Linked DNA regions of Lytechinus pictus. The protein of the gene in region 4 interacts with the protein of the main gene of each other region in a pairwise test. Links are inferred from orthologs where the notes say so. Each region holds a gene or a part of one and is shown on either strand. Other genes may lie near its edges.

Region 1 (8,203 bases), on a different chromosome or scaffold from region 4:
TTTATCGTCTGACTTCACAATTTAGTATGTAGTAATAATAATAATATACAGTTCTTGTATAGCACATATCACATGAATAAAGTCTCTATGCGCTTCCAAAGGAATTGGATATTATTACCCCAGCTGTAGCTTGGCAGCCGTAATTACTAAGATGACAGCACACATGCATTTCAAGGAATAAATTCCTGCCAGGTACCCATTCACTTCACCTGGGTTGACTTGAGTGCAGCACAATGTGGATGAATACTTTGCTGAAGGAAACTACGCCATGGTTGGGATTTGAACCCACGACCCTCTGTTTTCAAGACTTAGCCACTGGGCCACAACGCTCCATGTAAAACATGGCAGAACTTAAACATTTTAAATTTGTTCAATTTCTGGTAGGGCTCACTAAGTTTTGAGCACACTGAGTGTAATGATAAAAAATACAAAATTTTCTGCTGCGACAGTTTCTCGTCTGCTAATATCTCTGACGATATATAAGGTTCTGGTTCTGACTGATATGAAGGTTAATATTAAGGTGTGTATTTTTGAAGATCAGGGCCCCATTTGATAAACAGTTGATATGATCGCAACTCTTGCTGGGATATCATTTACCATGACAACAGTAGAACTTCTGCTTCCTGATTGGCTCTTCCAATGAAAGTTGACTTTCCAGCAAGAGTTGCTATCATAGCAACTTTTTATGAAATGGGGCCCAGGTTTTATGTTTAGCTTTGTCATGTGTGACGGGGCAATTGTCACAGAGCAAATGTCATGGAACTTGATCAAACATGCCTTATTTTTTATAGAAAATCTGTTTTTTTACCAGATATATTCGTAAGCATTGTAGCAAATGCATTGCATAACTCCATGTATTCCATTCCTCTTAATGTATTCCAAAAACACAAATGTCTTTCCAAAGTATGTCTTCTCCAGAGAAAATGGTTGTATATATTCCATCTTTAAAAAAAAAAATATCAATGATGTTTTTAAAGCTAGGTATCTAATTATGTATATATTTGACAACATTTGTACTAAATCTGCAGTACCTGCTTTATAGAAGGTTAAATATTTATTTTATATGTATTTTCATAGTGGAAAACTGATAATATATCGTACTGATTTCTCTTTACCATGAAATGTTATTCTGTATGTATTTTAGGTAAATATGTTGATCATGTTATTGATTTCAATGGTATAGCAGTCCTATTTATAGGTCATTACCTCTGCAGTCACATTTCCCGTATCGTGTCCGCATGATGAGTAGGAAACGGGTGTTTTGCGGATTTCTATTCGAACCACATACATGAAGCTGGTACAAAAATTGTAAAAGGCCGTTTTTGACTCACTGTACGGCCATAGTAGACAAAATGTGACTGCGCCAGAAGTAATTCTAGCACCGCATGTATTTTTCTTTCTTAAGGAGCTAAAGAATGATATTTTTCAGTTAGCATGTCAACGGTAGGCTATTTTGCAATCTTATCATGGACATAAAATCTGCAGTTTGTGTTCATAATGATAAAATTCCCCAATATGGCAGACAGAACAGTAATTTTCAATTAAGTCTACGCCAGCTCTATTTACGTCCCCTTTGGTCGGATCCAACTTGGTGTAATCTTGGTCTACAACCAGTTTCGTCTAATTGGTCTAGTTGGTCTACTTGCCACGTAGCCCAATATATAATTTTCACTAATTTCCAGAGAGGCTTTAACCTTTTTTTAAAATCCAATATCCATTTATGCTGCACATATTTACTCGTATCTGCCACTAATTAGTTTTTTTTTTTCTCCCTACATTGTATTTTGATAATCTATCTCCTTTTTTTTTCTGGCACAAAGTAGGCCTATGCTATTTCTTCTGAGGCCTGTAACACAACAATAGCAATCATCGTAGAACTTTTTTTTTTTACCGTTGATTGCATTGATTACATGTATAGTGAGTGATTGTATTACCGACCGGCCTTGTATTACCGAACGCGCACATCGTACGCGTCAGAAAATAATTTCATTAGCTCAAAATTTTGTAACATCCTTTCAAAGGGAACTTGAATAGAAAGATGATGAAAAATTGTCAAAAACACATTTTCAAAGTCTTAATATTCTAAAAATAATAAAATATGTTCAAAATAGCTCATCAGTGATTTTGTTTTTTTCACAACTTTTCCCATAGAAAACACACGTTCGGTAATACGATACCTTTTTCAAGTGACCAAAATATTTAACATGCGAAGAGGGGTCCGATTGGAAGCTTATATCATAAAAGGGACAAACGATTTTGGCAAAATTTTTACATATTTATATTTTGTAGGTAATTGTGTATTTATGGTGGAAGTTTGGTGAATTTTATGAGAGTAATGTGTTTGATATGATTGAATTCATGAAAAGTGTTCGGTAATACGATCCACTACCAAACAATTAATCGTGAAAATCATGAGTAAGATTAATCGTGAATCTTTGTGAACCCTGGATTCGCTAACATCTCATATTTTTACTTTTAACTGTTCATCAACTCTGCCTGCGATTTTTTTCTGTACATGTTTGTGCACTAGTTTCGTCTTTTCAAGTTCTGTTCTAAAGTCTTATTTATTTTGCATAATATTAGGATGCTTTCTTACTAACTTGCCAGAAAGGTGCATTTTGCAAGCCTTGCATTAAGTACTTAGTGTATATCCCTTTTCTTATTTTGTATTTATTTATTTATTTTATTTGATTAATTAATTTTTTTTTTTTGGGGGGGGGTGTATTAGCTGGGCAACTCAATTTTAGATAAATTTGATCTAACAAGGATCTGTTTTGAGCTGAACTGGTTAAAGTAATCTTAAGTCAAAAAAGGAGTTTTTACCCAGAGTTTGATACGAGTTAGAAATTACAAAATGAAATACATAATGAATTAGGATACTTCTAAACTGTTTTGAAGGTTTTTTTTATTTTTCTTTTCTTCTAGTATTATAAATGATAATGATGGTGATTTGATAGTCATTATTTTTATATATAAAGATAATATATGATATCATCAATATAACATTGTTACTGTAATTGTCACTTTTATTATTATCATTATCATTATTTCTCTAATTTCTATTTTTAGTACTTTCATTATTATCGATTGTTGTTACAGTGAGTATTATTACCTTGTAGTATATTGCTCATGAAAAATACTGAATCATGGTAAATTGAAGAAAATAAGTGCACTTTTTATGGATTTTGTATTCACGGTACTTTATTTAGAGAGAAAAGGGAATGCATCTCAAATTAAAAGCTTTTTTGTCAAGTTTAATTGACTGTTTTAAAGAAGTATATGTTTTTTATGAGCTCCGGCCCAAACCAAAAAGTGAAAACTGATTGATTGATATATAGATTGAATGATTAGTTGTTGATTGATTGGTTGGTTGATTGATTGATAGATGAGTGGATGGATTGATGGATATATGGATTGATTGATTGATTTATTGATTGGTTGGTTGATTGATTGATTTATTGATTGGTTGGTTGATTGGTTTGTCAGTAGATTGGTTGGTTGATTTATTGATTTATTATGTTTGTTTGTCAGTTGGTTGGTTGATTTATTGATTGGTTGGTTGATTGATTGATTTGTTTGTTTGTGTTTCAGTTGGTTGGTTGGTTGATTGATTGATTTGCTTGTTTGTCAGTTGGTTGGTTAATTGATTGATTTGTTTGTCGGTTGATTGATTGGTTGATTGACCGATTGGTTGGTTGACTGATTGATGAATTGAACGAATGATTGATTGATCATAGTGTCTGAATGGTTGATTAGTGGCTTCATTGGCTGATTTGATAGATGGATTGATTAACTAGCCTGATTGATCAAAGGTTTAGGCTACTTGTTTTGTTTTATTAAGTCATGATTTATCTGTTGATTGGTGTATCAGTTCAGTGACATTGATTAACTAATAACATTTTTTAATGATTGATTGTCTGAGTGAGTGATTAATCGGTTGATGGACCAATTGGTTGGTATTAGTAGCCTTGCATATCCATAAAAAAAAAAAAAAGATGCACCTGAAACAGATTTTATTCACATTTCAAAGTCAAGAACTACATGATAAGTGTATACTTTTCCCAGAAACATAATAGATTATGCAGCACTTTTATCAATTTATTGTATATCTATACCTTTATAGAGCAATGTTAATGAATCAAGTTGAACACGGGCATCCGTGTTTTTCCGGGAAAGGGGGGATGTTAAGTAAGTATAATCAATATAATCAGTATAATCACCCCCCCCCCCCCTTTCCCGGGCCTGGCTGGTCTCTGTCCTTATATGTCCCCTTTTGTGTACTCCCTTTTGTACATAAATGTGTTCCTCTTCTCTCCCCGCCTCTCTCTTTAGTTATCATATTATATTATATTGCCATTTCTTTGTTGTTTATCCAATGTTCTTTGAATTCGTAATGAGGAACCTTAATTTACAAGCATTGCTTCACTTAGGTCTCCTCGTCTTCCTTTAAAATTATTTCTTTTCTGTCTTAAGCTGTATAATGTATTTAAAAACAATGTTTTCTGCATACTCTGTTTTATATATACCTGTATGTTTTATCATGTACTCTGCTCATTGTTTCATACACACTTATATGTTTGTCATGTATTCAAACTCAAAGTTGGAAGACAAATAAAATGAACTTATGAACTTATGGTATCGAATCCCGGACCGACTTCATGATGGATGGAACGCTACGAGCTCGGCCAAGCCACGGAACCATGTCGATGTCGCGTCGCGAATTCACGAACAGCGCCATCTCCGGTGAACTGCATGCCAAGATCAGAGAGATAAGCCAAAATTGAAGTCGGAAGTGACAGGATTTGTTTTGCATTTTATGCCTTTCCTTTCTTTTTCCCAAAGCAGGTAAAAGAATTGTGAGTATCTCTCGTTTTTTCTGAATGAATTTCATTGACATCTTGTTCACTTGTATATTCCTAAATTTGTAATTCATATTGCTAATCGAGTGACGACAGCCGGCTACGCTAGTAGTAGTACCGGCGCGGTAGGTACCGTAGACGTAGTACCGGTAGTAGTAGTACGGTACGCTACGCCTACGGCTAGTTACACGCCGCGCCTCGCGGGTCGAGACACCTTGGCTTTTCACCGGTATATCGAATGGGGCGGAGGAGGCGGAGCTGAGGCACATCGCATGCCGGGATCGCATGTATAGTCACGTATAAACTATAATTCAGGAAAATTTTCTTAGGTGGTTCCCACTTTGAAGAGTAGATAAAAAGAGAGATTGCCAATGAGATTTATTTCATCAGTGATGATTTTGACGAAATAAATCTCACTAGTAAACTGTCTTTATCCTCTCGTGAAAAATCTGAAATTAAGATAAATTCCCTATTTTTGAATATTTGGGGAAGTTCTTTAAGTTTAAATGGGTTGAATACTGCCGGGTTGAATACTAGTGCATGTACAGTATTTTGCATTTGAAAAATCTAATTCTGATAGTATGAATCCTAATATTACTCTACCAAATTCAGAAGTTCAGCAGCCTGAGGCTGAGACTTCCAATATTGGAAGACTTCAAGAATCAGAATTAATCCAAAGACCAAACTGACTTCACACAGTCAGGCCGATGTTAAAGATAAATTCCAGTTGTGGGGATGATCTCAAAATGACTTTTTACAGAAATTAATATAATGATCACCAAAATGTCTGTATGAATAAAAAATATGTGCCAAAGGATTCTGGAAGAAATTGTGTGCTTGCTGAGAAATAAGCAAAATAAGCGCGGATTCTGTCACTTCCGTTAGGTCTTTATTCCAGCAATAATATTAATACACTGTCACACGTGTGCCTATCTGCAGTAGAGGCGCACGGCCAATATGGGAGACTCTCTCCAATAAGGGAGACAATCTCCCACATTGGAGACTTGCTTTGCAAAAGGACAAAAGAAACAACACCAACAAAAGCATGATTTTTTCCACCCAAAATTTTGTCTCACTGAGGTCAGAAGCCCATTTGTTTTGTGTGTGATTGACAACAAAAATCCTTATCAAAACAAAAGTAGACGGTGAATTTTTAAAGTAGACGGTGAAAAGGGGTAATTTTTCATGAGGAATCTGCTTATCACATTTTTATTTGCCGCCAAGTTAATCCTTTTGCAGCAAATGTAAACAAAGGAAATTGGACTCCAAAACTGGAGACTGTCTCTGAAATTGGATACCTAGATTCTTTACAAAAGTCTCTGATATTGGAGATAATCTCCCACATTGGAGACAGTCTCCAATATTGGCCGTGCGCCTCTACTGATCTGTGTTGGCGATCTTCAGTGTGATAGTTTTTTAGCTTAGATATCATGATTTCACAAAGTTCAGTTTATGTAACTGTACCAGATCTAGATCCACGATGATATAGTAATACTTAACCTTGGTTTTACAGACTTTCTCACGAAATCAGTATTTTACTGCAACTACTGTCATTTAGCTTTAATCTAAGGGATCTACATTTTCGTGTCAAAATTTGTGATCAATGACTTAAACTAACTACAGTACGGAGCGTAGGTATACAATGTACACACTTACAAAGAGTTGCGATGGGCCCCGTCTTACAAAGATTTGCGATAGATCTGATCAAACTCAACTACTGTTCAAAAATATTTCTAGAAATGATGCATTTTCAATATTAAAATTCATTGATTTCTTGACAATTAGGTGTGTTTGCCGTCGTTACCAAGGACATTTTATAGATTTCCTATAGGTAGAAAAAATATGACACTGATGGATTCCAATAGACTTACGATTGATTGGATCAATCGTAACTCTTTGTAAAGATTGGGCCCAGATAAACCTCGACTACTGTTATATGGAAATCCATCGATATCATAATTTTTCCAACAGGTCGAACAGGAATCTTTCACAATGTCGTTTTGTAGACAAAGAAGAGCACACTGAATCAACAATGATGAATGTATGAATATTCATCGAAATTATCAGATTTTTTTTTTTTTTACAAACGAATTATTTTAGATGTTGATGTTGCTGGCGTTCCATGGTTGTGGTTGATCGGATTAATCGCAACTGTTTGTTAGACGGGACCCGGATGTGTAGATCTGCATGTTCATGTAACCCTTCTAAGAGCGACAATGATAGTTTTGTTGAACTGTGAATTTAATGTCGAGTATTGCCTTGTATCGCCCTCAGATCACAGCATGATGACCATGATGTCCATTGGTGCAAGAAGGCATTTAGAAGGTTGAAAGAACACGACAGTCCTTTTAGGGTTAATAGTCGATACCTTGGTCACATTTGTTCTACGGCGGCCGTACGGCGAGTCGAAAACAGCTGTTTTAACATTTGTTGTACCAACGACATATACATGTAGGTGGTTTGAATTAAAATGAATAAAACGGCTGTTTTCGACTCGCCGTACGGCCGCCGTAGAACAAATGTGACCAAGGTATTAGTCTTCAGATATGTGACCCTCGTAGTGTTGGCTCTGCCCATACCTCTAACTTGACTAAATGACAAAGGCAAAGTAACGACGATTATCCTGCCCTTAGTTTATTAAGCTATTTTAAATTTTTGCAAAATTTTAACGTCAAATTATCTTGTGTCACCTCCTAGATCGTAGCATGATGACATTGTCCATTGATCAAGTACTGTGTGATGCAAGAAGGCTGGTTGAAAGGTTGAAAGAACACGACAGTGCTGCTGATCATCTTATTCAAGAAACTACAACTCTGAACAAGAAAATTGAAGTCATGAAAGAGGTATTAAAATGTCTCACCCTCCACCTGAAAAACTATGACAAGTCACTGTGTAGGGCTCAGTGTAATTAGCTTATACCCCTTTCATAAACCCAATTATGCGGCTAACAGCAGCATAATTTGGTCGTAAAATCGGAGGAGGACCAGAGTTATCCGCATTTTTTTAATGCTGCAATTATCCGCATAATAGCAGCATCGGGACAAGATTTTGAGTTTATGAACGTATTTCCAAATAATGCGGATAATTGCCATGGTGCGGTCACAAGGTCACCCTTTTCCAACACATCGCATCTGAGGGGGCGTGTCCAGTTGTCATGACGATTATCCGCCTTTTTCAGGACGGGCGCTCGTAAAAATAATGCCGATAATTTTCGGAGTTTGTGAACGCAATTTTTATTGAATTATCCGCATTACTATTAGGCGGCTAATTGGAAGATAGGTTTATGAAAGGGGTATAAGATAGTTATTTGGTCTCCATATAAAAGAGTATTTATTCATCTTATA
Region 2 (7,783 bases), about 7.8 Mb from region 4:
TACTGAGTAAACTTGACAGATTCGAAGGGGACATAGAGTGTGATCCTTCCAACATTACTATCTTTGTTTCAAGAGGTGACAACTTTCTACCTGTCCTGTGAGCCAAAGCCTGAGCTCGGAGATAGTCTTCTGGTGATGGAGGTTCTCCCAATGTTACAGCTCCCTTTGAAGCCCGAATCTGACGGAAAATGTCACTTTGTTGCCTGATGCGATACTCCAGATCTGAAACCTGGGCTTGAAGCCAAGTCCATCTGGTTGCAATAGCTGACCTATCTATAGCCCATTTCCATGATGCTCTTCTGTGACTGTGAATAAGAAAGGAAAGGGGGGGGGGAGAAAGCAACATCAATGAATTTGAAATTATTCAACGCTATAAAACTAAAATCTTTCCAACATTTGTTCTTTTGGACAAGATAAAAACACAGGCAAATGAGGCAGCTATGCCTATTTGAATCTATTGGGAGTTTTGGGACCATAAAAATTTGTTCCAACTAGGGGGAATTTGAATAACAGTTGATAATAATCTGGTTTACCAATGCTGCGAATATTTTACTTAAAGTGTACCTGTAGATGTCCATAAAATTGTTTCCAAATTCAATGGGAGTTCTCATCTTTTCATTCATGTGACCATACTCACAATACGTGTACGCCTACAATATCGCATGCCCTATAATTCCAAGAGCCAAAATTTTACAATCTCCTTAGCTCTTTGAAATATGTACTCACAGAGGCATCTTGTGAAATGAACGGGATGCCTGGGTTTGTGGTAAGCTGTCATCTCCTTCATCACAACTTTCTCCACCTGAGCTGCTATCGGTGACGTCTGAATCTATGGTGCTTTCAACATGACCAAGGCCTGCTCGAAGCCTTCCAGTGACAGATTTTACTTCACGATATGCTTGTTTCCCTTCTCGCAAGTGCTGAGAAATATGTGTACTTGGCTTAGTTCTTTTTCCTGCTGGTAACCATGATGGTCTTATCGAATGTCTTTGCCGGTCTGAAGAAGAGTTTGTATGTAGAGGACAAGTATGGCTATGACTTGAACTACTTCTAGGAAGAACGCCAGGTCTACTACCCGTCTGAAGACGATTCCTCCGGCACTCTTCACAAGTAACGTTGCTACTTCCAGCAGAATTTGCAGCTTCTTTGCAGGATTGTTTTGATTCTACAAAGGAACCTATTTGTTGATATATCCGAGATCCAACGTGACATGTCTGTAATCTCCGTAACTTTTCCATCAAATACTTTGCACGATGTTCTTGTTTCGACTGTTTATGAATCAAAATGATAGCTTCTTTCTTTCCCTCAGACATCTGGTCATTATCATTCACAACCTTGAATACAGATTTTTCAACCTGCTTCACTTCTGCTTTCATAAATCTAGGTTTCCTGTCACCTCCTACTTCTAGCTTATCAACAACATTAACGGACTTGAATTTCTCCTTTTCAACAATGTTGCTTGCTCCACTACATTTTTCTGCAGTAGTGGCAGAAAGATCCACACTACTTTCATCTGAGTCGCTCTCATTGTCTGACTTCGGATCAAGACAGTCATCAACGGCTTGTTCAAGACTTGTATCTGTTGTCAGTGCATTAGAGTGTGACAGACTTAATGAACTATCCATGTCATTCGATAGAGAACTGCTTGACGTATCGCTAGTATCGAGCTCCACATGCTCATCGATATCACCATTATCTCGTATATTGATATTTTCAATGTGAGTAGCGACAGAGTGTTTTGGACCCGTTGGACTGGGACTTCCAGTAGTTGATATTGTTAGAGGCGGCATTTTGGATGTTGGTGGAGTAGAAGGGTGATTATCGTTCAACAGGTCTAGGTCTACCTCTTTCTGTGCCAAGGGTGCGGCAGAGTCGTTCATCGTTTTCAATATGCTTTTCTTTGAATGTTTTTCACCATTCGCGAGTAGATCTAGGTTTAGATCCAGGCCTGAGCCGATGGTGGAAATTAATGAATTTAACTTGTTTTTTATCGGGCCGTTACAGTGGTTTGATTGCAATTCCTGATAATTTTTTCCCTCTGAAATTGTCAGTGTTTCTCCACCCTTGTGATTATTATTCTCAAGAAAGTGGGTGTGAATGGTGAAACAAGTTGGCGATACAGTGGGCTCGTGGTTTCTCAACAGAGTGGTGGGACTCGAACCTGGAGAATAATGCTTGCCTACACCACCGGGTACTGCCGGAGAATGACCATTTGCCAATGAGGGCAAGTCTGGGCTTGTTGGCTGATTTGGATTTGCTTGCAGGCCACCACTGCTTCCCGGGTTAGCAGGCGAAGCTGGCAACTTGAAGGAGCCTGTATGAGCCGCGGCATCAGTCAGTGCCGGAGCCATTGCAGCCATACATAGCCTCAGCGGGAACTGTGACCACATGCGACGGGAAGCGAAGCGCTATGCGGACAGGGTACCGTGGGAACGGCACCACTGTACGGCGTCACACTTGCCATTGATTGGAGAACATGACTAATTAAAGCTTTCGAAGACGACCCGTCCAACGAGATAAAAAATTGTTTTGTATTTTAAATACTAGGATAACAATTAACATATGTTTACAATAGCACAAATGTTGCAATACCAAAACACAAATAATGCTATAGTATAGAGATATGTGTTTGTTCAACCCGCTCTCTTCATAAACATCGGTCCATCCAAAAAAAGCCGCAGGTGAGGCAGGCGATAATGGAAACAATAACAGAGGCCAGGCACAGGCCGAACGATTACCACACGTGACAGACACCAGATCAACGTACGTATAGCTATTTCCCGCGCTTAGGCCGGGAAGGTGGTCTCCATCAATATTTACGAGTATCGTTTTCCGTCTTCAGTGACCGACAAGAGGATCAGTTTTAGACGTCAAATTGAAAACAACGTTGCACTGACGAATGTTTGAACGGAACGTTTCGCAAACTGAGAATCATAACATGGACGGTAATGAGAAGCAACACCACGTGACCCCTGGACAGGTTCCACGCACGTTCGTGAAACAAGCGATCGGACTATGCATGCGGGTTACACCCATTATTTTCCGAATTGATCAACATATTTCCTTGCTCTTGTCAAAATTTAACATCCTAACGTATACTCCTCATGGGTAATCAATGAATCCAACAATCACACACATCACATTATTCATCATTGACTTCCATGGCCAACCTACGACGTCGAAAAAAGTATCGCATAATATGGCGACGTGCTCAGGCATTGATCTCCATTCTCACAACAAAAAAATGCAGGCGACTTCATTAACATCTGCCTCTACGTCAATTGGTCTACCCCCTATAGGCGGAATTGCGTGATTGGCTGTTTAGAGCTATTCGGTTGGTCGGAAAAATACCCTGTAAAAATCTTATAGTAAATAATTATTAATTATTTTTCCTCGCTCTTGCATAGTATTTCACCCCTAAATTGACTCCATCAATTCGTTTTTTTATGTAACAATACATCTTCATGCATGAAAAGGTGCAAATTAATGAAATTTTATCTTAAAAAATATTTCGCATAAAGACGTAAATACGGGGAGGGAAAATGCGAGATTAAAGAGCCATCAAGTTCGCGCTCTATCGATATGAAGTCAAACTTTCGCAAAATAGCACGGAACAAAATCAGTTTTATTACGAAAAGTAAGCATTATTATGTGATATAAAGCATTATATCAATTCAAGGATAGAAAATCTATGCTTAAAATTGATTCGAACGAAGTATAGGGATTTAGTCCTAACTAATAGAAGATACGGTGGAAAGACTTAAGTGCTAAAAAGGGAGGAATCATTTCATGTTTCGATCGCATTATCCGGGATCATAATTTAATATAGTCCCGAAACTTTGAATTTTTATATCAGAATTCGATGTTTCCCCACTCGATCTTGTACTCTTATTTCTGGCAGTATAATTGGGAACAAGGGAATTTTCGAATATAGCATTTTTATGATTTTATTATCTAAGGAATAAATTTATGTTATGCCAATGCGTAGTACCATAATAGCTCTATGATACCACCCTGTATTTTTTTTTTTTTGGTCTTTTTGTTAGTGGGTGTCTTTTTTTTCCGTACAGTTGACATCATTACAACAACGGGAAATTAGCGGAAAACTGCGCGCATGGGGAATGCAAACTCTGTCTCACGAGTCACGACATTGCTCTGCAGCTGAGCCCTGAGGTGCCGAACCGTGGATCTGACTCCACACATTTTTCTGAAATGTGGTCGGTATCATGCATTATATTTTTTGTAGCCCTAGCATATATGTTTTGTATACCCTCATTGACAATGAAGTGATTTCCCCCCTTTTTTATGTTGTTGCTATAGACAAACTTTAATTCTGAACAATCTTTCCCATGCAGGTTCGTCTTTCACCGTGAACACGCAATTAAGCCATAGGGTCCTACTCAGAAAGTTTCTTTTTTAGTAGAGGTCTATATATGTACTAGTAGGCCTAATGTTTTTTTTTTCCAACTGTTTTTTCGCTTTCTTGTTTTGTCTTCGGGAAGTTTAGTCCAATTATGCAGATCGTACATCTTCCCTTCCCCTAGGTGCTGTTTGCACTGATACCAAATACAAAAGTGGTATAGGCCTAAGTGTAAATCTTGATTTGATTTGATTTAGAACAGTAAAACCTACATTTTTTCAAGTTATTCTCTTATATTCTGTACAGTGTAGTTTAGGCCTAAGTTTAGTTTTATCTCTTTACTTGGGAAAAAGAGATAAGTTACACAATGAATGGGTAATCCCGACAAAACATGATTTGAACAGATGAATAAGAATTAAACAAAATGACCGTGCAAATTTCATCGCAATCGGACAAGGTATATGACAAAGTTATTGTTTTAAAGATCATGTGCACTATGCATGTCTTCATGCCAACTGATGACGTCATATTCCGGTTATGTTTATTAAAATTTTGTCATCCAAAATCGGGGGAACTTAAAAAAAGAATTGACAACTGATTTAGTGCACTGTTGCTGTTACTTATTTTACTACTAGGAGACATGGTCATACACACTGGTATGAAAATATGAAATAATGATGATTTCATGTATTAATATCAGTCCCATCAGTTCATTTGCCCACCTTATGAATATTCATGACGATCGATGTGCATATAAATAACCGAACGGATATCTTCGTTATTTTCTATCAGATTTTGATAGATTTTCAGCATTTTTCTAAATTGAAGTTTGTCGAGATAGTATACAGCCTACTAAGTCATGTTCATTAATTGCAATGGGTGTCGATTGCATTGGCGTAAATCCGTGACCAGTGTTGTAGTCAAGGCTCAAACCGGGCCAAGGCCAAGACTTTAATACCCAAGGCCAAGGCTTCAATACCCAAGGCCAAGGCATGGAAACCCAAGGCCAAGGCATTTCAAACTTTCGATAATATGGAACAATGAGCTAACAATTAATGCTTAGGCGGCAGACATGTCACACAGGGAAAATGTATAAAAGGTGTGAACGAGTGAACTGAGCGAGCAAAACTTTGACCCTTGTAAATGTACATGTAAAACAAAAATAATTTCATGATAGATTTAGACATAGGCCCTAATAATAAATGATAATATAGTTATATACCTTTGTATATTTAATACATTATATTTCTATAGGCGATTTACATCAAAATAATTATTATTACCATGGCATCCTGACATGCCCATTCTCAACGTATGTCTTTCTCCACTCCCTGGGACAGGGGCTGCAGAACGTATTTTTGTTGGGGGGTCAAAGCCAAAAGGGGTACTTAATTGTCAAAATGGGCCTTTTGGTGCAAACAGATATTTTCAAAATGAGATTATCAACTGCATGAAGTAGTTGTGTGATTTGTAGAAATTAAGTCGAGTAAAGCCTTTTTAAAGTGATTTCTAATTGATAAGATAGATATTTTGATTTAGGCTTTTACTTTTCCACGAGAAAGAGCAGCGAGCAAGCGGTTTTGAAAAAAAAATCAATTCTGAAGTTGTGCAACTCGATTGTTTTGGTCAATAATGGCACTATTCCGTGTTAAAAGGGCACCCTTGCGAGATGTTGCCAGTGCGAACCACGAGCTCAAACTTTTGGACATTATTTTCGTGTAATAAGACATGAAAATTAAATATTCTGAGCTGTTTTTGTAATCATGAAAAAGATGTGTATCTAACTAAAGAATTAACGCAAGCGCGAAGCGCGAGCTGAAATTTTTAATATACTGAGCAGAAAAGGAAGCTGTTAACATGGTTAAGGACATGTATTCATTTTAGTGACTCCTAAATAGGATAATAACTCTACAATCAAATAATGCGAGTGCATTATTTGTGATACTCCAACCTGAAAACTGGACATTCTAAACATTTTTTTTGTAAACGGGAACAGACTGAGTACCTTACTTTACAATAACTGATGCGAGTGCAGAACGCGAGCCAAAAATTTGTGATATTCCAATCTGAAAACTAGACATTCTAAACATTTTTTGTAACCATGAACAGGATAAGTACCGTACTTATTATTGATGCAAACACAATGCAAAATTTGGTGATTTTCAAACCTAAAATGTATTATGTTTTCATGTAGAAAAGGTATTTCTTTTTGAAAAATGGCACATTTCATTTGGAAAATAAGGCATTTTCGATTTTTGAAAAGGGGCATTTTTTTCCTACAGAGAATTTTCCGGGGGGGGGGGCAAGATAGCACAAAGCGCAAGTTGAAATTTTCAAATGCTGACCTGAAAATGAGTCATTTTTAGGACTCTTGTCAGTTTTCACGGTTTTTATGCTTACAACCACTTTTAACTTTCAATTCTCATTTCTTGTATCTTCTACACTTATTTTACCTCAAAAACCGGAATAAAGAATACAAACAAAATGAAGTTATATTCAAAAGGATATGAAATAAACGGAGCGCACCCCATACCCTTAGTTGGGGGAGCGTAAATCTTAATTATTTCTTTAAAAAAAATAGAGTTCCATATTACTAGTAAACCATATTGACTTAAAAACAAATAACCACCACATTTTACACACTTCTGATCGTCTCCAACAGGCCGTTCCCGATACTCCCCTTCTAGCATACAGACGCCCACCGAATCTCAGGGACCTCATTGTTCGTGCTGAAGTGCCCTGCCTCACTAACCATTCTTCTACCATACAGCATGGCACCTTCAAATGCACCAGCAACAGGTGCATCATATGTGAAATACACCTTCACGAGGGCGATACTTTCACCAGCAACTCTACCAGCCTGTCTCACAAAATCAAGGGCAACATCACATGCACTACCACTAATGTTGTATATCTCATCACTTGCAGATCGAGTTTGTAGGGTACAATACATAGGGGAAACCAAGACCACAATCAAGAAACGATTCTACGGGCACAGATCCACCGTCAACACAGCAAAGCTGGACACTCCAGTTGGCCGCCATTTTAACCTCCCCAACCACTCCATCACTGACATGATGCTACAGGGCATCGAATCTTTAGGTACCCGTCCTGACTCAGTCCGTACTAGCAGGGAGAAGCTCTGGATGAGACGACTTCGCACCACCCAACCTCATGGCCTGAACATCCAAGAGGGGAACGACTGATTTTTCTTTCCTATCCACTATCAATTTATATATACATATAATTTTTCCCCTCAGCTCTTTTGAATAGTTACATTATAGTTTCTTACTCTACTTTCCTCCCATATCTCATACAAGCTCAGCTCCAATTTTTCCTTCCTTATTCAGGCGATATAATAATTATTATATATATATATATATATATTTGTTTTTTTCTCCACTCGCCTCTTTTAGATTTACC
Region 3 (8,569 bases), on a different chromosome or scaffold from region 4:
CATCCATCTATTTTCACTTTTCTGCGCGTTCCGTCAGCACTTGGCCGACAAAAAAATAACTGCATATTTTGTTCATCCCTTTCAGAATCCTGGATCATGTTATGTGTGGACAAAATATTTTTTATTCACCCTGTATATTATATGATTGCATTAGTTTACTGACATTACACTGGTATTTAAGAGCACCACCCGGCCATGAGTTTGTTTGATTTCGGTATATCAAAGGTTAAGTGATACTAAAAATTGTTGATAATACAGCTCATAAGACAAAATCTGTGATCATAATTTTTCTACGCATTGAGCAGTGCATGCATTGTGGTCTTTGTATGGATCCAGTATACACGCCATTATCGTGATAATGCTCTTTAATACTGTCATTTTGATTTCATCTTACTTTTTAACAAGGGGGCGGTAGTATTTTGATAAGGGGGCTATCCTAACGTGACGTACTCTTTCTCCTCTTGATAGAATAACAGAGATCATTTAGAGTTACTTGACCCAGTCTCCTAGCTCTTTCTGATTGTGTTCCTCCTTTTCCCTTTTTTTTCTTTCATTTAATTCCTTTTTGGGGATCTAGATCCAGAACTATCCTAATACTCTTCATTCTTCTTTCCTCCGTTTCCCACTTATATATATATTTTTTCTACTTATTGAAAAATCACAGGGTGACTACCCCCTGTAATCTGTTATTACCGACGTATTTTGGCATGATTCTTTTCGTTAATCGCGATTTTAACACTGCACAAAACTTTAAAGGGGAATTACAGCTAGTCCTCAGTCATAGGCCTATGGAAATTCACTATTTTTAACAGTCTTTTTCGTATTCATATACTAGTAGTCGATGGCTGCATTTCCTATAATGTAGGACATCATGTCAAGTTCATTCCTCTGTCAAAATTTACTATATGGCGCCAGTGGATTAGATAAACTGGGGTGGAGAGTGGAGTGGTGTCCGCAAAGAAAATGCTTGTACATCAGGTAGAGGATTGCAAACGTACTATTTTCAAATGCGAGGCATTGTTCCCATTATAATTCCTAATTCAGAATTAAATCATTAAGGCAGCTTATATCAACATGTATTTTATAATTATTATCTCACCACCTGCATGTTTCCTAAATTACAAAGTGTGTCATCGTAATGCAATTCATGGAGGAGATTGCAGTTTATAGCTCATTAAGAAATTTGACATCTTTATTTTCTTGAAACAAGTCCACTTGTTAACTTAATTAATGCTATATTTTTATATAAAATTATTGGTGATTAGGCTACGTTCGGGTATTGGTCATTTCATAATGCAATAATGAAAAACAATTTAAGGGATAAAAGAAACCATAATCCACAAGGGAGAACGCGTGCATAAAGATGTTCATTGTCCAAATCAAAGAAAGGTTAATAAATTATTGCATTCTTGTAATTACAAGTGACACTGAAATTATATGCATAATTCCTTAATTTGCATGAAGTACAAAATGTCCCTGCGCGAATGGCATGAGCATGTGGTTTTCTCGTGATGCTCATTATTTCTCACTAATCATCAGAATTAGACAGTTAATTCTTGAGTAGAGAGGGGAATGATGCTATGATAGAACATTCAAACGGAAAATAAAATGTCGAATTTTATACGTGCTTTTCATAGGGGCAGAAATAAGAGCAATATTAGAAATAATATCGTGCACGATGATACCATAGTACGATTATTCTATAAGTTTTCATGATTATATCTTAAATTACAGAAACTAGACCGTAAATCTTGATAGATTTTAGGATATAAAAATAGAACAAAATGAAAAATGTATTGCTGCTATTAATTCAAGACAATGTTCAATGAACTTGAGTGATAAGACTTATCGAATGCAGAATGCGACCCAGGCCTGCCTTATTTTAGCCTTTTCTGACTTTTCAAAATAAGTTTGAATATATTACCACTCTATCCCCCCCCCCCCACATTTCCACAAGGATTAATTCGAGATCGTTTTTAAATGTGTCATGTGCTAACTCTTGATATAAACATTAGACAGGCGAAGACAGTGTTCCTATGCAATAATGACATGACTACATTTTCAGAAATTTTCTGATACTGATTAGGACAGTTGTAACTTGCTATATGCTTTCATCTTTTACTGTATTATCCGACTCGAGCGTTTATAGTCGTTAACGTATTAAATAGAGCTATGATGAAAGAACGAAAAGGTGACAGACCGGAAAATTTGTCTTTTGACTTCTAAAGTTGATCTTTTGCTTCAATTCGCTTCCTGTTCTTTGTTCAGGTTCTGTGAGTTTGCCTCACAAAAGATCTTCCATTATCTCCATCGTCCATGGAAGGGGTTATTAATGATCCTACCATTAATAGCCAAGTATTATTCATTTCTTTTCAAAACGGTATGCAACCCTGCCCAGGCATGAAATAAAGTCGGCGATTTAGCTATTTCCTTTGAGGATTACCCAGGTTGTGCTATTTACAGTAAGATTTCTAAATAGCTGGATAAAATCGTAAATATCAACATTCTGAAAATATATCCTCAATATGAAGACTTGAATATGCCTATAAAATACAATTACCTTGATTATATAAATTAGTTGAAAGAGAATCCTTTTAAAAAGAGAAAACTAGTATAGGCTACACAGCTGCCTGTTATCAATGATAATATTGAATTATTTCTTCCGTGACACCTAATGGCTTTATGGATGTTAAAAAGATTTGTATTCTTGGATGTATATCTTTGTGTCAAACTTCCATTCGACACTGCCATGCTATAACACAGAGCAAAAGAAACAAACAAAACCAAACAAAAGTACATACGTCATCACACCTCCAGAAGTGAACCCCTAATACATGTAATAACGATAAAAGTGCACTCATGTACACTGTCAAGTTAGTGAGGTGGGCGTGTCCTTATACCAGGCACCAGGGATGGTCCCCTCGGGTCATCCAGGGTCAACGAAATAAGAGTCGTCGGTTTTACCGTGGACCTACTACCTCATCCTTCGCTTCAGGGTCCGCACTGCTGGCCCCCTGTGGGTCGTAAAGTATCAGATTACTACCACTTTCTCACATGATACAAGATCGAGTAGTGGTAACTATGGAGACAGGAGTTTGTCAACATTCCATTAAGCTCAGATTTTGTGACCCGATGAGGTCACGGAAAAACTTGTTCGAAATCTTCCCGTTCCCTTGTTTTCATGCATCATGAAAGCATGAGAGTACGTTTAACCGGCAATTAAAAAACTACTATTAAAATAAATAAAGCGGATGGAGGAGCATTGTGCGAATAAAGGGGATTCTTGTATGTCCAGAAAAGTGAAAGAGGATATAGAATCATGCTTCAGATCGACTGGTCCACTGCACAAAGAGGAGAGTGTCCGTCATTTTACATCTGTGTAAAATGTGTGGTGTCAGTCCAGCACCATGTTATTACAACATAATAATTTTTGTGTAATTTAAACGCTCGGGGGGGGGGGTCAAACTGTATTTTGTCTTAAAAGAGACATTTTGTGCCTGTTTTTACCCAGGAGAGACGTCACAGGGGGAAGGAGACGAGTCAGACGACCACCTCATTTATTTATTTTTTTTAAAAAAGGGAAACGGGAAGGATAAATGAAAACGCTTTGAAAAAAAATAATAGGCGCTATATAAGTATTGAATTTAGGAGGAAGAAATATGAACTAAGCCCCACCCCAAAAAATAGATAGGAATAGAAAATAAATGAATGAATTAGTAAATAAATGGATTAATAAAGAGACAAATAAATAGATAAATAAATAAATAATTAAATAGATAGATAAATAAATAAACAAATAAATAAATAAAGTTCTGGGTCATCTAATCATTCATAATATCATTAATTTAATCAACATTCAGTCATCGATCTTCTCCATCCTGTCATAATGTCTGATATAAAAATTACTCGGATTAGGCCTATTTTTTCCTGACACCACTTTCCAAGCCGCGGCCTCACCCTCGTCCTTCAATATGAAATTTGTTTCAAAATTTTAAACTGTTTTATATCAGGCGAGATTTTTCACCAAATATCCTTAGGCCTATATATTTGGATATCAGGGCCAGATTTTCATGAAAAGATGTAACACTTCAAATTTCAACCGATGGAAACGGTAGCAAAAATATATTGGGACACCAATGCCCGCTTCAGTGTGATCATTTTGGATAAAAAAAAGGAAGTTTCGACAAATTTCATGCTGTTTGCTTTTTGGATTGATATACAAATCATCTTAAATTCATGGGAAACTTGACTTGAATTATACGTTATGTTAACGAATGTTTTCGAGTCACAATGATATAATTCATATTTGGCCTTATATATAGAATCGCCGAATTGGGTTAGTGTTAGATAAGGTTACACCGTGGACATGATTACACTAAGCAATATATTGGTTCACGATATGGTTATTATTAAAGTTTCACGATATCGGTTTTGGGGCGGTGACACTAGGAGTAGGCATGGGGCGACCACCCTCTATGATTTGTCAAGAAGTGGGAAAAGGAAAATAGAGGGAAAGGGGGGAAATAAATGGGGGGGGGAGAAAGAAAGCGGTTTTGGCAGTGTAATACCCCTCTGATAATTAATATTAGAAAAAAAATATGACGTTATATACCTTTATGGTAGTTTTGCTCCCGCCCCCAATCAAAATATTAATGTCGCCGCCCCTGCCTCAACATAGTAACTTCATTGGGTACACTGCCTCTGATATAGACTACGAATGTTTTGAATATCTATCCTGGCATTCAGAATGATGATTGATGAGGTAGGTTCTGAACTTTTGATGTATTTTTAAGTTCACTATGGGTAGGCCTATATACCACACCTTTCCTTCGGCGCTAGCTCACGTTGAGTAGAGTTATTCAAAATTGAGGAAGTTATTGATAACACAGTGACGTCATACGAACGTTACCCATCTTATTCTGAACATGCATGGTAAAGTAAAGGCCACCCTACTTTAATTTGCAAATACATGTAAAAATATTGTGTTTATACACAGGCCTGCAAGTGTCCTTTTTGTTCCTTTATAAAATTATACTTGGCATACTTAAGTTTCTATGTATATTGTACATGCCACATCCTGACGTCATACAATATTATTATTGGGCCAAGTTGAGATATACTTTCAAAATTTATTTTTTGGTTTGGAGTAAGCGTATTCATTCGTTAACTCTGTCAAACAAAGAAAGCGTGGCCCCATCCTATTTAGTTTCAAATCTTAAACGAAAGGAAGTGGACATCTTCTCACATTGTATACCAATATCCGATGCTTTGGAACGTCGCCGGATGCTGCTAAATGAATACCATCATTACGCATGCGCGTGCCCTTTCTCCCGCCAGACTGGATGCCCTTGTACTTTTTTTTTCTTTTTCAAAATTCATTATCATCCCGCATCGATACCACGGTCTCCGTGGATAGTACCAATGGATTATGGTGGTATCATAGACAACATCTACTTCATAATATAGATGACTGAAGTGTAAATAATAAGTGAATGCCGGAGATACATTTTTTTTGCTGATGAATCTGGGTCGCGAATATGAGTCTGACAGACGACACGGCTACAAGCGTGAAATGTAGCAGTTTCTGGAATATGGTTTGATTTTGTGTTTTCTCGGAAGTCTTAGTGATGAAGATCTGCCCTATATGTTTCTTCTTGGATAAATTAATAATTAGGAATATAAACACAGACATCGTTACATTGTCAACGAGAGGTAGGCTATTTTTTAAAGGTTTATAGTTTGATTTTAACTATTACATCATTCGCTATCAAATATGATGCTCAGACAGGGGGAAGGTGATTATTTTCTTTATTTCTTAACTTTTGATTTCTACCCCTCCAGAAAAATAAAAACACAGCAGGAAAAATAAGTACCATGTCATCCAGATTAAAGGAGATAGGTGACTAAATCTGACACCAACTGAAATTGAGAAGTCATTTAGCTTTGCATCCGATTTGATGAAGTTCTCATATTCCAAAGACTTTATTGTATTGTGTTTGATTAATGATATGGGGGAGACTTTATAAGACGGTAAAGAACCTACAATGTAGGCTTTGTCTAGTACAGAAAATAAGTTCAATCATGTTCACTATTCAGTGGGATGCAGGGGTGCCCATGCTTCGGGCCTAGTTGGGAATCGGGGGAGTGGAAAAATGACAAAAGTTTTCGGGCCGCTATATAATACAGTATTCTGAGCTCAAAGCGCTTAGAAAAATAGACGGATAGACATTATTTGCATGTTATAGTATTTTATGCCAACTTTAATAGTTTTATATTAAATGATTTAGTTTTCAAATTAATGGGCGATTTTCATTGGGGTCACCTCTTGTGGGCGTCATACCTATTTAATTTCTTTATTCATAATTACCTTTTCCCCCATTTGAGTGTACGATCATGGTCCAAAACCTTACATCATCGCCAGGACTAAATACTGATCCCTGCCATCTTCATTAAATCAGTGCATAACCTAGCTTACTTTTCTTTGGGAATTTATTCCAAGTTTCCCCAAAACAAGGAGAATATTTTTGTTATTGACATGTAAATCTTTCAAAGAAGATCATTTCATGATGGCCGGTTTATTTTTTTTTAGCTGAACAAACAGAAGCATAATGAGCCAAACATTTGAGGAAGCCAGTGGCAAAAAGGGCTACGAGCGATCTAGCTGTTGACATGATACTCAGAAAATACTATCATCACCCAGGGGCGGTGGAGCAAAGGTGAAAGTGGGGGGGGGGGGGGCACAGGAAAAAAGGGCACATTTTCTTTTAAAAAGGGCACTATCTTAAAACAAAGAAAAATTGGTCGTGAAAAATTTAGGGAGGGGCAAGAGCCCCCCCCCCCCCATCTTTACGCCTCTGCTCATCTACCCCACTCACATGACTCATGAAGTTTAAGGCACGTAGGTTTTGAAGTAACATATAAAAATGTGAATATCGTTTTCTTGTTTCAAAGGGGCACTCGATAACACATAAAATGGGTCCTTCTCAAATGAAAGGGGCACTAACACATTCTTGTGGGGCACTTTTCTTGAGTAAAAAGGGGGAACTGATACGAGATAGGGCAATTAGAAAGAAGGCAGGGGGGCACTTGCTCACACACAAAACGGGTCCTTCTCAGGTGAAAGGGGCACAGAACATGTTCGTATGGGGGCATTTTCAATATAAAAAATTGGCACTTATACGAGAAAGGGCACTTGGTAACACCTAAAATGGGTCATTCTCAGGTGAAAGGGGCACAGAACACGTTTGTGAGGGGCACCTTTCTTGGGTAAAAAGGGGCACTGATTCGAGAAAGGTGGCACTTGCTTACACATAAAACGGGTCCTTCTCAGGTGAAAGGGGCACAGAACACGTTCGTGTGTGGCATTTTTCTTTGGTAAAAAAAAAGGGGGGGAACTGATACGAGATAGGTCACTTACAAGAAGGCAAGGGGGCACTTGCTCACACACAAAACGGGTCATTCTCAGATGAAGGGGCACAGAACATGTTCGTGAGGGGGCATTTTCAATTAAAAAAAATTGGCACTTATACGAGAAAGGGCACTTGGTAACACCTAAAATGGGTCCTCGTTAGGTGAAAGGGGCACAGTACACGTTCGTGAGGGGGCATTTTTCTTGCATAAAAAGGGCATTTTTCAGTGCTTCAAAAAATGGGGGGGGGGGGCACTGTTCCCCAGCCCCCCAGGATCGCCGCCCCTGATTTTACCCTTTTCTCTTTCATTTTCTCCTTTTTTTCTTGGTCGTTATTTTTATTTTTTTGAGGTCCATGGCCCCAAGTCTCCATTTGTACCCCAGTGTTCACATTTCTAAATAATGTATTAATTTTCCTAGAATGTCCTTAATGCAAAAGACCGGGGGTGGGGTATACATGTAGGCCTAGGCCTATCACTTTCATGGAGAGATGGCACAATATCAGTTTTTGGAGGAGGACCCACGGTGCTCACTTCATCTTATTAGCTCCTGCTTCACTGTGTGGCACTGGCAATGGATGGCGTCTTTTCACCCCCACTGCAGTCTCTATCATTTTCAAAACATGTAGCCATACCTCATTACTTGAAGTAAAGCTCTGACGCAAAATTTTTGCAAAGTACTTGGAGAATAAAAGAAAGTTCTTTACTTTTGCGGTAAAAAATGGGCGTGGTCATAGTGGTCCCGAAGTGTAACAATCGATGGAATTATATTTTGAAAGTTTCACTCCAGTGGCTCTTTGACTATTGATGAACAGTAATCAATAACCGAAAAGGGAACAAATCCGTATGATCATGTTAATGTACTTGAGACTGCTCCCAAACTAAAACCAAAATTCTATTGCCGATAATAAGCAAACAGAATAAGACACATTGGAAGATGAAATCAACATATTACACCATCAGCAATGCATACTTGTGTACTTTACCAGCCAGCCAAGCCTCTTCTCTGCGTATGAAACATAGTTCGACTCTTCCTATTTAGTTTGCACGTAAATGGGATACACAGATGAATGCGCGTGGCGTTGTGTTTCGGCTGGCCCGACTGAGGATCTATCGTATGTGGAATGAAAAGCCTTGGAAAATACTAAAAGGACCTGTTATC
Region 4 (8,592 bases):
ATTATTGATGTCATCATGTCCTGTACTTTTTTTAGAACTAAAATCAGAAACAATATTAATTATCTCCTGATTATAAGTTGGAGCGAGAAACATTGAACTAGAATTTGATGGGCCTAAAAATTCAGAAAAGTGTTTTGTTGCGGGAGGAACATTACTTGCAAGATTTTCCCCAATTGAAGAAAAGTGATTATTCAGGATACTACAAATTTGGTGAGAATCTTCAAAAATAACATCGCCAGATCTAATTTTTGTAATATTAGATTTGTTATTTGTTATATTCATTGCTTGTTTTAAAACTTTCCATGTATTTTGCATATCGCGCTTGTAAAGTTGTAACTGATTAGTAAAGTATCTTTTCTTTTCTAAACGTATAATTTTTGTCAATGTATTTTTGTAACAAGTATATTTAAGTTTGGATTGCTCAGAGCGTTTCATTTTGTATTTATAATATAAATTATTCTTTCTATTATCGAACGCAAGAGCGATTTAGAAATCCATGGGAGCTTCGGTGATTTTTTGTAGTTAAATGTCTTATCTCTAAGTTTTGGAATATGGGTGTCAAAGTGTAAATTAAAAATGTTCATAAAGTTTTCAAAGGACAAGTTAACGTCATTATTATCAAAGACACAAGACCAATCAACATCGTCTAAACTAGCACCCAGACGAGCTATATTTTCGTGTGTTATTCTACGTTTTAATGGACGGCTATATATGTTATTGAATCTGTCTTTTAAAGAGAAATTAGTCGAGACAGGGAAGTGATCAGTGATATCAGAGAGTAATATGAAGGAATCGGGTGGGGGAAGAACGTTACAGAAAATATTATCAATAAGCGAAGCGGATTCATTGACTACGCGTGTGGGTTTAGATATTAAAGGTAAGTAAGAAGCGGATAAAAATATTTCCAAAAAATCTTGTGTAACATTATTTTGTTTTAATAAATCAATATTAAAATCGCCCATTATAAAGCAATTTTTACTATCAAAAATTGGATTTTTAACCAAGTCTGAGATATGATCTAGAAATGATTTGATATTCGAACTCGGAGGCCTGTATATAACACCTATGATAATGTTTTTGCTGTTAGGGATAGTAATTTCAATAAAAAGAGATTCAATTGTATCAGACATGCTGTTAAGCTCGTCTCGAACTACATAATCATAAGATTGTGAAACATATAACGCAACGCCCCCACCCACCCTATTTTGTCTGTTGTTAACTAAAAGATCATAACCATCGAGAGCGAATGGAAGGCTTGAATCATGAGAAAGCCATGTTTCGGTTAAACCTACTACTGAAAATGTTTGCATGGGGGGATTATCTAAAAGTAACCGTAATTCATCAAAGTGTTTGTTAATGCTCCTAATATTAAAGTGTATAAGAGAAAAAGAGGAGTTATCAAATTCCTTAACAACATTATTAAACTGGTTATGGGTGACGTATTCAGAACATGGACCTGGAAATTGGTTATCAGTGTCAAAATCATAATTCAACTCTTGCATGTGATGATGAATTAAATTTGTCTGTAACATGATTTTCAAAGGAAGTAACATAGGGATTTATGTTTGATTCACTTTCTACTAACGTTGGTCTAAACAAGTCAAGAAAGTCATCATCGTTAATTGTATTGAATGGTGTATCTACCGAATTTGCCATATTAAAGAAAAATCAGAAAACGCATTTTTTTTTTTAGATGACATTAAAATGTCTATAGCAGGAACAGTGAAATCTGAAATACAAGTCCCGGTCAGAAACAGATAAACAACAGTCACGTGCATGAATGAGAAGAGGTACTGAAGCAAAAACGAACAGAAAGGGAACTTACAACATACAAAGCACGATACACAAAGGAGGTTCAAGGAACCTATGAGCATGATGAGAGAAGAGGCAAAGGAAGTCCGCTTATTGTGTATTGAAGGATGAACAAGCCGTAGTTTTGAGCATGTGCATTGTCCGTTGCTTGAGCCCACGAAGGCACCTGTAGAGGGCAGTAGAGAGCAAAGTAATGGTAAATGAAAATGACGTATCATGTAAGGGAGGTTCAGGCGAGAACCCGATTTCACAAAACGAAAATGTATACTTTTTTTAGAAATAACACCCTGTTATAAGTATGGAGCAGAAATGAATTAATATAAATCATACGCATTCAAAAGCAAAGTGTTTAATCATATCTTAAGAAGATGGAAAAATAAGAACTCTGACTTTGAAAACAAAGTTAAGGTCAGATGTAAATGGATAAAGTGGAAAAAAGCTTTGCATTTAAATAATCAAAAAGTATCTCCTTGAAATCAAATATTTGTGTATATTTTGGTTCTAGCATTACTTATACAGAGTATGGAATCATGTGTGAAAAAGCTTACCCACACTGTTAAGATGCTGTTTTGATGGGTACTGTGAATATATAGTCGGGTGTGAGCGGAGGCCGCAATACTTCCAACTGAATGAGCGATTTGTATAATCGTTGAAGACTTCATCGAGAAGGAATTAGTAGATTTTAATTATTTTCATTATCTCTGCCATAATTCCATTTACTTAAATTGTTTTGTTGGTGTTTTTATTTTTAATATGGTATCTTTTAGCATTGAATGTTTTTTCATGAGTAAAAGCAAAAAATTGTCAACCCAAGTAAGGGGATTCGTATTATTAATAGGATAGCTTGTAATTTTATCAAATCCTTTTATTGTGGGCTGCAAAGGTTTTGGTGCCTTTGAAAGACATGAATCCTTCTGTTAGAATTAATATTGTTCTGTCAAGCACACAATTTGACTTGTTCATGGAATCAATGTCCCCTTGATAATAGGATTCATGTCTTTCAAATGCACCATAACCTTTGTTGCACATAATAAAAGGATATGAATAAATTGCAAGCTCTTCCATTAATAATGGATATCTCCTTGCTTAGGTTGACAATTTTTTTTCTTACCTAATATGAAAGAATATTCAATGCTAAAAGATAATACAATTTAAGTAAACATATTTAAATGAAACAAGGTGGTTTTCGAACCACCTTGTCTCGCCTGATTTCGCGATAATTAAAATATGCAATATAATCTTTTGACCCCATCATCCTCATGAATACACATGTATTATTACCCAAGAATCATAATTATGTGCCAAGTGTGAACATGATTGATGCAGAAATAAAGAAATCAGAGCAAGTTAAACAAAACCTTCAAAAAAGGATGGACATGAACACATATCATTTGACCTTTTGACCGCTAGACGACCTTCGACCTCATTATTCTCATGGAAAAATATGTAAAATTATCCAATGATAATATTTACCAAGTATGAACATAATTGATGTAGAAATAAAGAAATGAGAGAAAATTGAATAAGAACTAGCAAGAAGTCATCTGAAATTACGATGCAGACGTCATAGATAATTTCACCCCTGCATTTCTTGTTTGTTATCTGCTTTGTTTTGTTTTATGATGGTGGGCCCCAACCAAGTCTGCGCACCTAACAATTTGATTTTGAGTTAACTTAACTGGGTGGCGTAGCTAGGATTTTTTTCCTGGGGGGGCACTGGGGGGTCCTTGCTTTTTCAGGGGGGGCACCATTTTTCCGGTGTGTGTATGTGTCACAAGGGCGGATCCGGCTTTCGCCAATAGGGGACGGGGCCCGAAATTATCTTCACCTATATTTTCCCCGATCAGTCCCTTCTCAGTTTTATTCTTATAAAACAACATAAACATGAAATAATCTCATAAGCCTTATAAAAAGTGCGAGCGCGAAGCGCGAGCGATTTTTTTTAACTTTCATGTATTTTGTCCTGAAAATGTGATATTCTGGGCAATGTTATGTGTGATCCTGAAGAAGATTCGTATGTAACTAGATGGTTACTGCGAACGCCAAGCGTTAGCAGAAATTTTTATTAACTGTTCTAGCATTATCGAAAAGGGACCTGTTAAGGAAGATGGTATATATTTCAATAATGCGAGCGCGAAGCGCGAGCAAATTTTTTTGACATTCCGACCTAAAAAAAATTGTCATTCTAAGCACTTTTTGTATTAATAAATGGGATAGTTATGTAACTAAACAATTGATGCGAGCGCGAAGTGCGAGAGGAAGAAAATTGAGATTTTAGACCTAAAAGCGGGACACTATATTCATATTTTGTAAATCATGAATAGGATATAGTTAATTGGGTATCATTAATAATGCGATCGTGAAGCGTGAGCAGACAATTATTGATATTTTGATGTGAAACTGGATAATTTAAGTACATTTTAAATAAAGAACATGCAGGCTATCGCGCATGTTTTAGATTTAGACCTAGAATCTGGGCATTCTGAATACATTTGTTTAATGGAACATTATGGAATACACGTAGCCGGGACACGTAGACAATATGAACTTGGCAAATCAAACAATGTGACCACGCAGCGTGAGCTTAAAATGCTGATATGTAGACCATAAAATGGACATTTTACAGAGCACTTAAATTTGTAAATGAAAAAAAATAATGAAAGCTCGATGTCCGAGCTAAAATATGTTTTGTATATTGACTTCAAAACTTGCTCCATATCAGCCTATTGAGCAAGATATGAATCTCATCGAACAGGCAATTCTGGCGCGAAGCGCAAGAAAAAAATTTATAAAGTAACATGAAGGATTTTTTTTTTGCAAGTCTTCCCCTCACATTATATCATTCACTCGTCTTCCTCCTCTTATTTCCTCTTCTTTTTTTTCTTCTGTCTTTCTTCTTCTTTTCCTTTTTTCTTTTCTTCTTTCTCCCTTTTTTTTTTGCTCTGCCATTTTTTTTCAGGGGGGGCACCTGGGGGGGCACACCAAATCTCAGGGGGGGCACGTGCCCCCCCAGGCCCCCCCGTAGCTACGCCACTGCACTGGCGTTGTGGCGTGCGCCTGTAATCCAAGCTATGTGGGGAAGTTACAAATTGATGCAGAGGTTCGAGCCCTGGTCACGTCTTTCGGATGGTGACGTTAAAGGTCGGTCCCAGACGTAAATAATCATATCTGATTGATACACGTCTGACAAAACTCAACTACACACACACACACACGATGATCAATATTGTCTAATTTTCTGGCATTTGGCGCAAGCCTGTTTTTGAACCCCTCACAAAAACGTCTTGTGTTCGCTCAAGCATGAACGGAACTATTTTCTTTAAAAAAAGCATTAGAAAGATAAGACATCAGAGCATCTATTAACATCAAAATATAGACATCATAATTTGAAACAAAATTTTGATAGACTTTTCTAAACTGTCCCGTTTTTTTAATACGCACTTTTTAGTTACTCGCCCTCTACGGCCTAGAGTAGGAGACAAATTCTCCGTTGTGAAATTCCAATTACAATAATTTGTCATCGAAATGGCGTCCCGTTTCTAGGAAAAAACCGGTTACCAACAGGAGTAACGAGCCTCATCTTGTTCGTTTTCGTGGAGAATCTTACCCAGTTTCGGATAGAGATATGAGGTGACATTCTACTAGAACATAATGGGAGAGGAATATATTAAGAAAACCCAGGATTCTCTTGGGAAAATCATAAAAAAACCACCGATGACAGAGAAGCTGCTGAAGAAACCTCCATTCAGATTTCTACACGACGTTTTCACAGAGGTAAACTAAAACAAGTTGGATCTCGATTCTATCGAACGTGTAATTGTAAAGTGCCAATGGATTGAATGTCAATGCAATTTAACTTCCACATGCAGTGATTCTGTGCACATGAAGAAATTACGATGCAGACGTCATACTCATAGATAATTTCACCCCTGCATTTCTTGTTTGTTATCTGCTTTGTTTTGTTTTATGATGGTGGGCCCCAACCAAGTCTGCGCACCTAACAATTTGATTTTGAGTTAAGATTTAACATGAAATTCTTCTTATTTCACAAAATCTTTCAGTTAATAATGTTCCTTAGGCCTATATTATTATTAGTAAGTGTCCCAAATTTCTCATTGAAAAATGAAAGAAAATAAAGGATTTTCTTGAAAAAACCTTGGGCAGTCATTTTCAGATTGAAAAAAAAAATGGTATGGTAGTGGATCGTAGAACTATTACCGAACACCTTTCATGAATTCAATCATATCAAACACACTATTCTCATAAACTTCACCAAACTTTCACCATGAATACACAATTACCTACAAAATATAAATATGTAAACATTTTGCCGAAATCGTTTGTCCTATTTACGATATTAGCTTCCAATCGGACCCCTCTTCGCATGTGAAATATTTTGGTCACTTGAAAAAGGTATCGTATTACCGAACGTGTGTTTTCTATGGGAAAAGTTGAGAAAACAACAAAATCACTGATGCGCTATTTTGACCATATCTTATTATTTTTCGAATATTAAGACTTTGAAATTGTGTTTTTGACAATTTTTCATCATCTTTCTATTCAAGTTCTCTTTGAAAGGATGTTGCAAAATTTTGAGCGTATGGAATTATTTTCTGATGCGTATGATGCGCACGTTCGGTAATACAAGACCGGTCGGTAATACAATCACTCACTATACCGGTATGGCAGTGTATCCTATTGCCGGACACCTTTATTTCAGTGCTTTAAAAATGACAACTAGAGGAAATACAATCAAGAAAAAAATCACACTTGCTATTCCAAATATTATGAAAACTATGAATATGATAAAATTATTTTCTATTTACCAACCATTTTCTTTGCATCGCAGTTGACGCATACCCCTCCACGAAAAACAATTATTTTCGTACGCGACAAATTACATCATGATTCCGGACGCGCGCCGGACGGGTAAAGATATCCTTGATTATAATGATGTAAGAACAAATTTGTGTGATTTTTTTCTTCTTATTTCATATCATGAGTAAATTCTAATTTTTTAATTGCTTTTTATATTGAATATGAGCAGATGTTGGTAATAAATTTGTGTTTGATAACTTATTCATTTTTTCTTGTTAGCTGCATGTTCCATGGCACTTTCCAATAATATATGCTCGCGTTCGTATCGTGATGCTCATCAAGTTCTATCGATGCGCTGCCGATCGACGGCTCTACTCACGGTAAACCTCCCGCACAGGTACCTCGAGAACTAGCCGTCGACGATCACCCACAATACACCACACCTCATCATTCGATCGGAGGAGTGGACGAGATTGAAATTCGGCAAATCAGGCCCATATTTCCGTTATAAAATATATCAATTGTTAATGCAAAACTATGTTATATGATATTTTAAGCATTTTCTGTCATTTTAGAGATAAATAAGGTAAAAGTTTGATTTTTTCGCCTTGTTTTTGCAATCTTGTTTTACAACCAATGTATGTATTGCTATGTGAAATTGAATTGCGGAAGTCTTACAGTACGAAATTGTTTTTGAACGCAGTAATATGCGCGTCCGGAATCATAATAGTGTCCGGTAATACAATACGTGACTATACCCCATGTCTGCGCACTCATTCACTTTGCACACGATTCAGGGATTTTGATGAGAAAGACTGCATTTCGTGGCCGTCACATGAAATGCCCTAAATTCATTATTTTCCATTATTTTGAGTCGGATTTTTTAATGAATACCTGTCTATGTATTGCATGTGTAAAGTCTGTGTTCGTTGCGTATCTTCTTTTACTAGAATCGCGCAGATATGCGAGTGCGCAGACAAGGGGGACTGCGCAGACTTGGGGGAACTTGCCATATAGGTTCTAGACAGGGTGACCAGATTTTACAAAATGAAATACGGAACAATCGACGAGTGGATCGACCAAGCTGGATGGACCGAGCCAGGTCTTAATAAAAAAAAATATCAGCAAAGAAGGCTACACAATATTGGGCCTGTAAACAAATTGTAATGAAAAGGAAGGGAGGGTGAACAAAAGATGAAGGAGAGAAAGGAAAAGAAGAAAGAAAGCAGATGAAATGTGTGAAAGAAAAAATGAAGGAGAAAGGAAAACAGAGTAAAAAAAAAGGAGGAAGAAAGAAAAAAATGTTTCCGTCATTCTTTGAAAAAGAGGAAGGAAGGGAAAGATTAAAGAATAAGGGAAAATAATTGGAAGGAAAAATGAAAATAAAGAATGAAAGAAAGAATGAAAGAGAGGGAGGAAAGAATGAAGGGGAAAAAGTAAAGAACATGAAGGAAATAAGAAAAAAAATAAAGAAAGTTAGAATAAAAGAAGGATGAATTAAAGAATGAATAAAAGAAAAAGGTTTCTGTCTTTCTTTGAAATGAATAAAGAAAGAAAGAAAAAGAAATGAAGGGAAGATGAATGAATGTGTGAAAGAAAAAATAAAGGAGAGAAAGGAAAACAGAAAGTAAGAAAAAAGGAGGAAGAAAGAAAAATGTTTGTACTTCATTCTTTGAAAGAAGAAAAAACAGGAAGGGAGGAAGGAAGGGAAAGATTAAAGAATAAGGGAAAATTAGAAGGAAAAAAGAAAATAAAGAATGAAAGAGAGGGAGGAAAGAATGAAGGGAGGAGAGAATGAAAAAAAAAATGGAAGGAGAGAAAGAATGAAAAAGGAGAGGAAGGGAGAATGAAGTAAAAAAAAGTTTAAAGAAAGAATGAAGGAAATAAAACAAAAATTTAACACAGAAGGAAAGAAAGAAAAATGAAAGAAAGGAAGAGGCAAAAAGTTCAAACTTCAAGGAA

What was found.
Region 1: the proteins of TRAF3-interacting protein 1-like (region 4) and FGFR1 oncogene partner 2 homolog interact in a two-hybrid assay, tested with the Homo sapiens proteins (2 studies listed by IntAct). The link is inferred for Lytechinus pictus from reciprocal best matches to the Homo sapiens genes TRAF3IP1 and FGFR1OP2.
Region 2: the proteins of TRAF3-interacting protein 1-like (region 4) and KAT8 regulatory NSL complex subunit 1-like interact in a two-hybrid assay, tested with the Homo sapiens proteins (2 studies listed by IntAct). The link is inferred for Lytechinus pictus from reciprocal best matches to the Homo sapiens genes TRAF3IP1 and KANSL1.
Region 3: the proteins of TRAF3-interacting protein 1-like (region 4) and spectrin beta chain-like interact in a two-hybrid assay, tested with the Homo sapiens proteins (2 studies listed by BioGRID and IntAct). The link is inferred for Lytechinus pictus from reciprocal best matches to the Homo sapiens genes TRAF3IP1 and SPTBN1.

The regions. Positions count from the first base shown.
Region 1 is NC_087253.1:9,977,739-9,985,941, reverse strand, and holds the start of FGFR1 oncogene partner 2 homolog, read left to right. Parts: upstream 1-4,733; 5' UTR 4,734-4,856; intron 4,857-7,556; 5' UTR 7,557-7,564; coding exon 7,565-7,702; intron 7,703-8,203. UniProt on the Homo sapiens protein: May be involved in wound healing pathway.
Region 2 is NC_087247.1:49,525,683-49,533,465, reverse strand, and holds the start of KAT8 regulatory NSL complex subunit 1-like, read right to left. Parts: upstream 3,302-7,783; 5' UTR 2,391-3,301; coding exon 727-2,390; intron 306-726; coding exon 1-305. UniProt on the Homo sapiens protein: Non-catalytic component of the NSL histone acetyltransferase complex, a multiprotein complex that mediates histone H4 acetylation at 'Lys-5'- and 'Lys-8' (H4K5ac and H4K8ac) at transcription start sites and promotes transcription initiation.
Region 3 is NC_087251.1:20,135,277-20,143,845, reverse strand, and holds the start of spectrin beta chain-like, read left to right. Parts: upstream 1-5,420; 5' UTR 5,421-5,712; intron 5,713-8,241; exon of another isoform or gene 8,242-8,569. UniProt on the Homo sapiens protein: Fodrin, which seems to be involved in secretion, interacts with calmodulin in a calcium-dependent manner and is thus candidate for the calcium-dependent movement of the cytoskeleton at the membrane.
Region 4 is NC_087247.1:57,288,186-57,296,777, forward strand, and holds the start of TRAF3-interacting protein 1-like, read left to right. Parts: upstream 1-5,292; 5' UTR 5,293-5,463; coding exon 5,464-5,586; intron 5,587-8,592.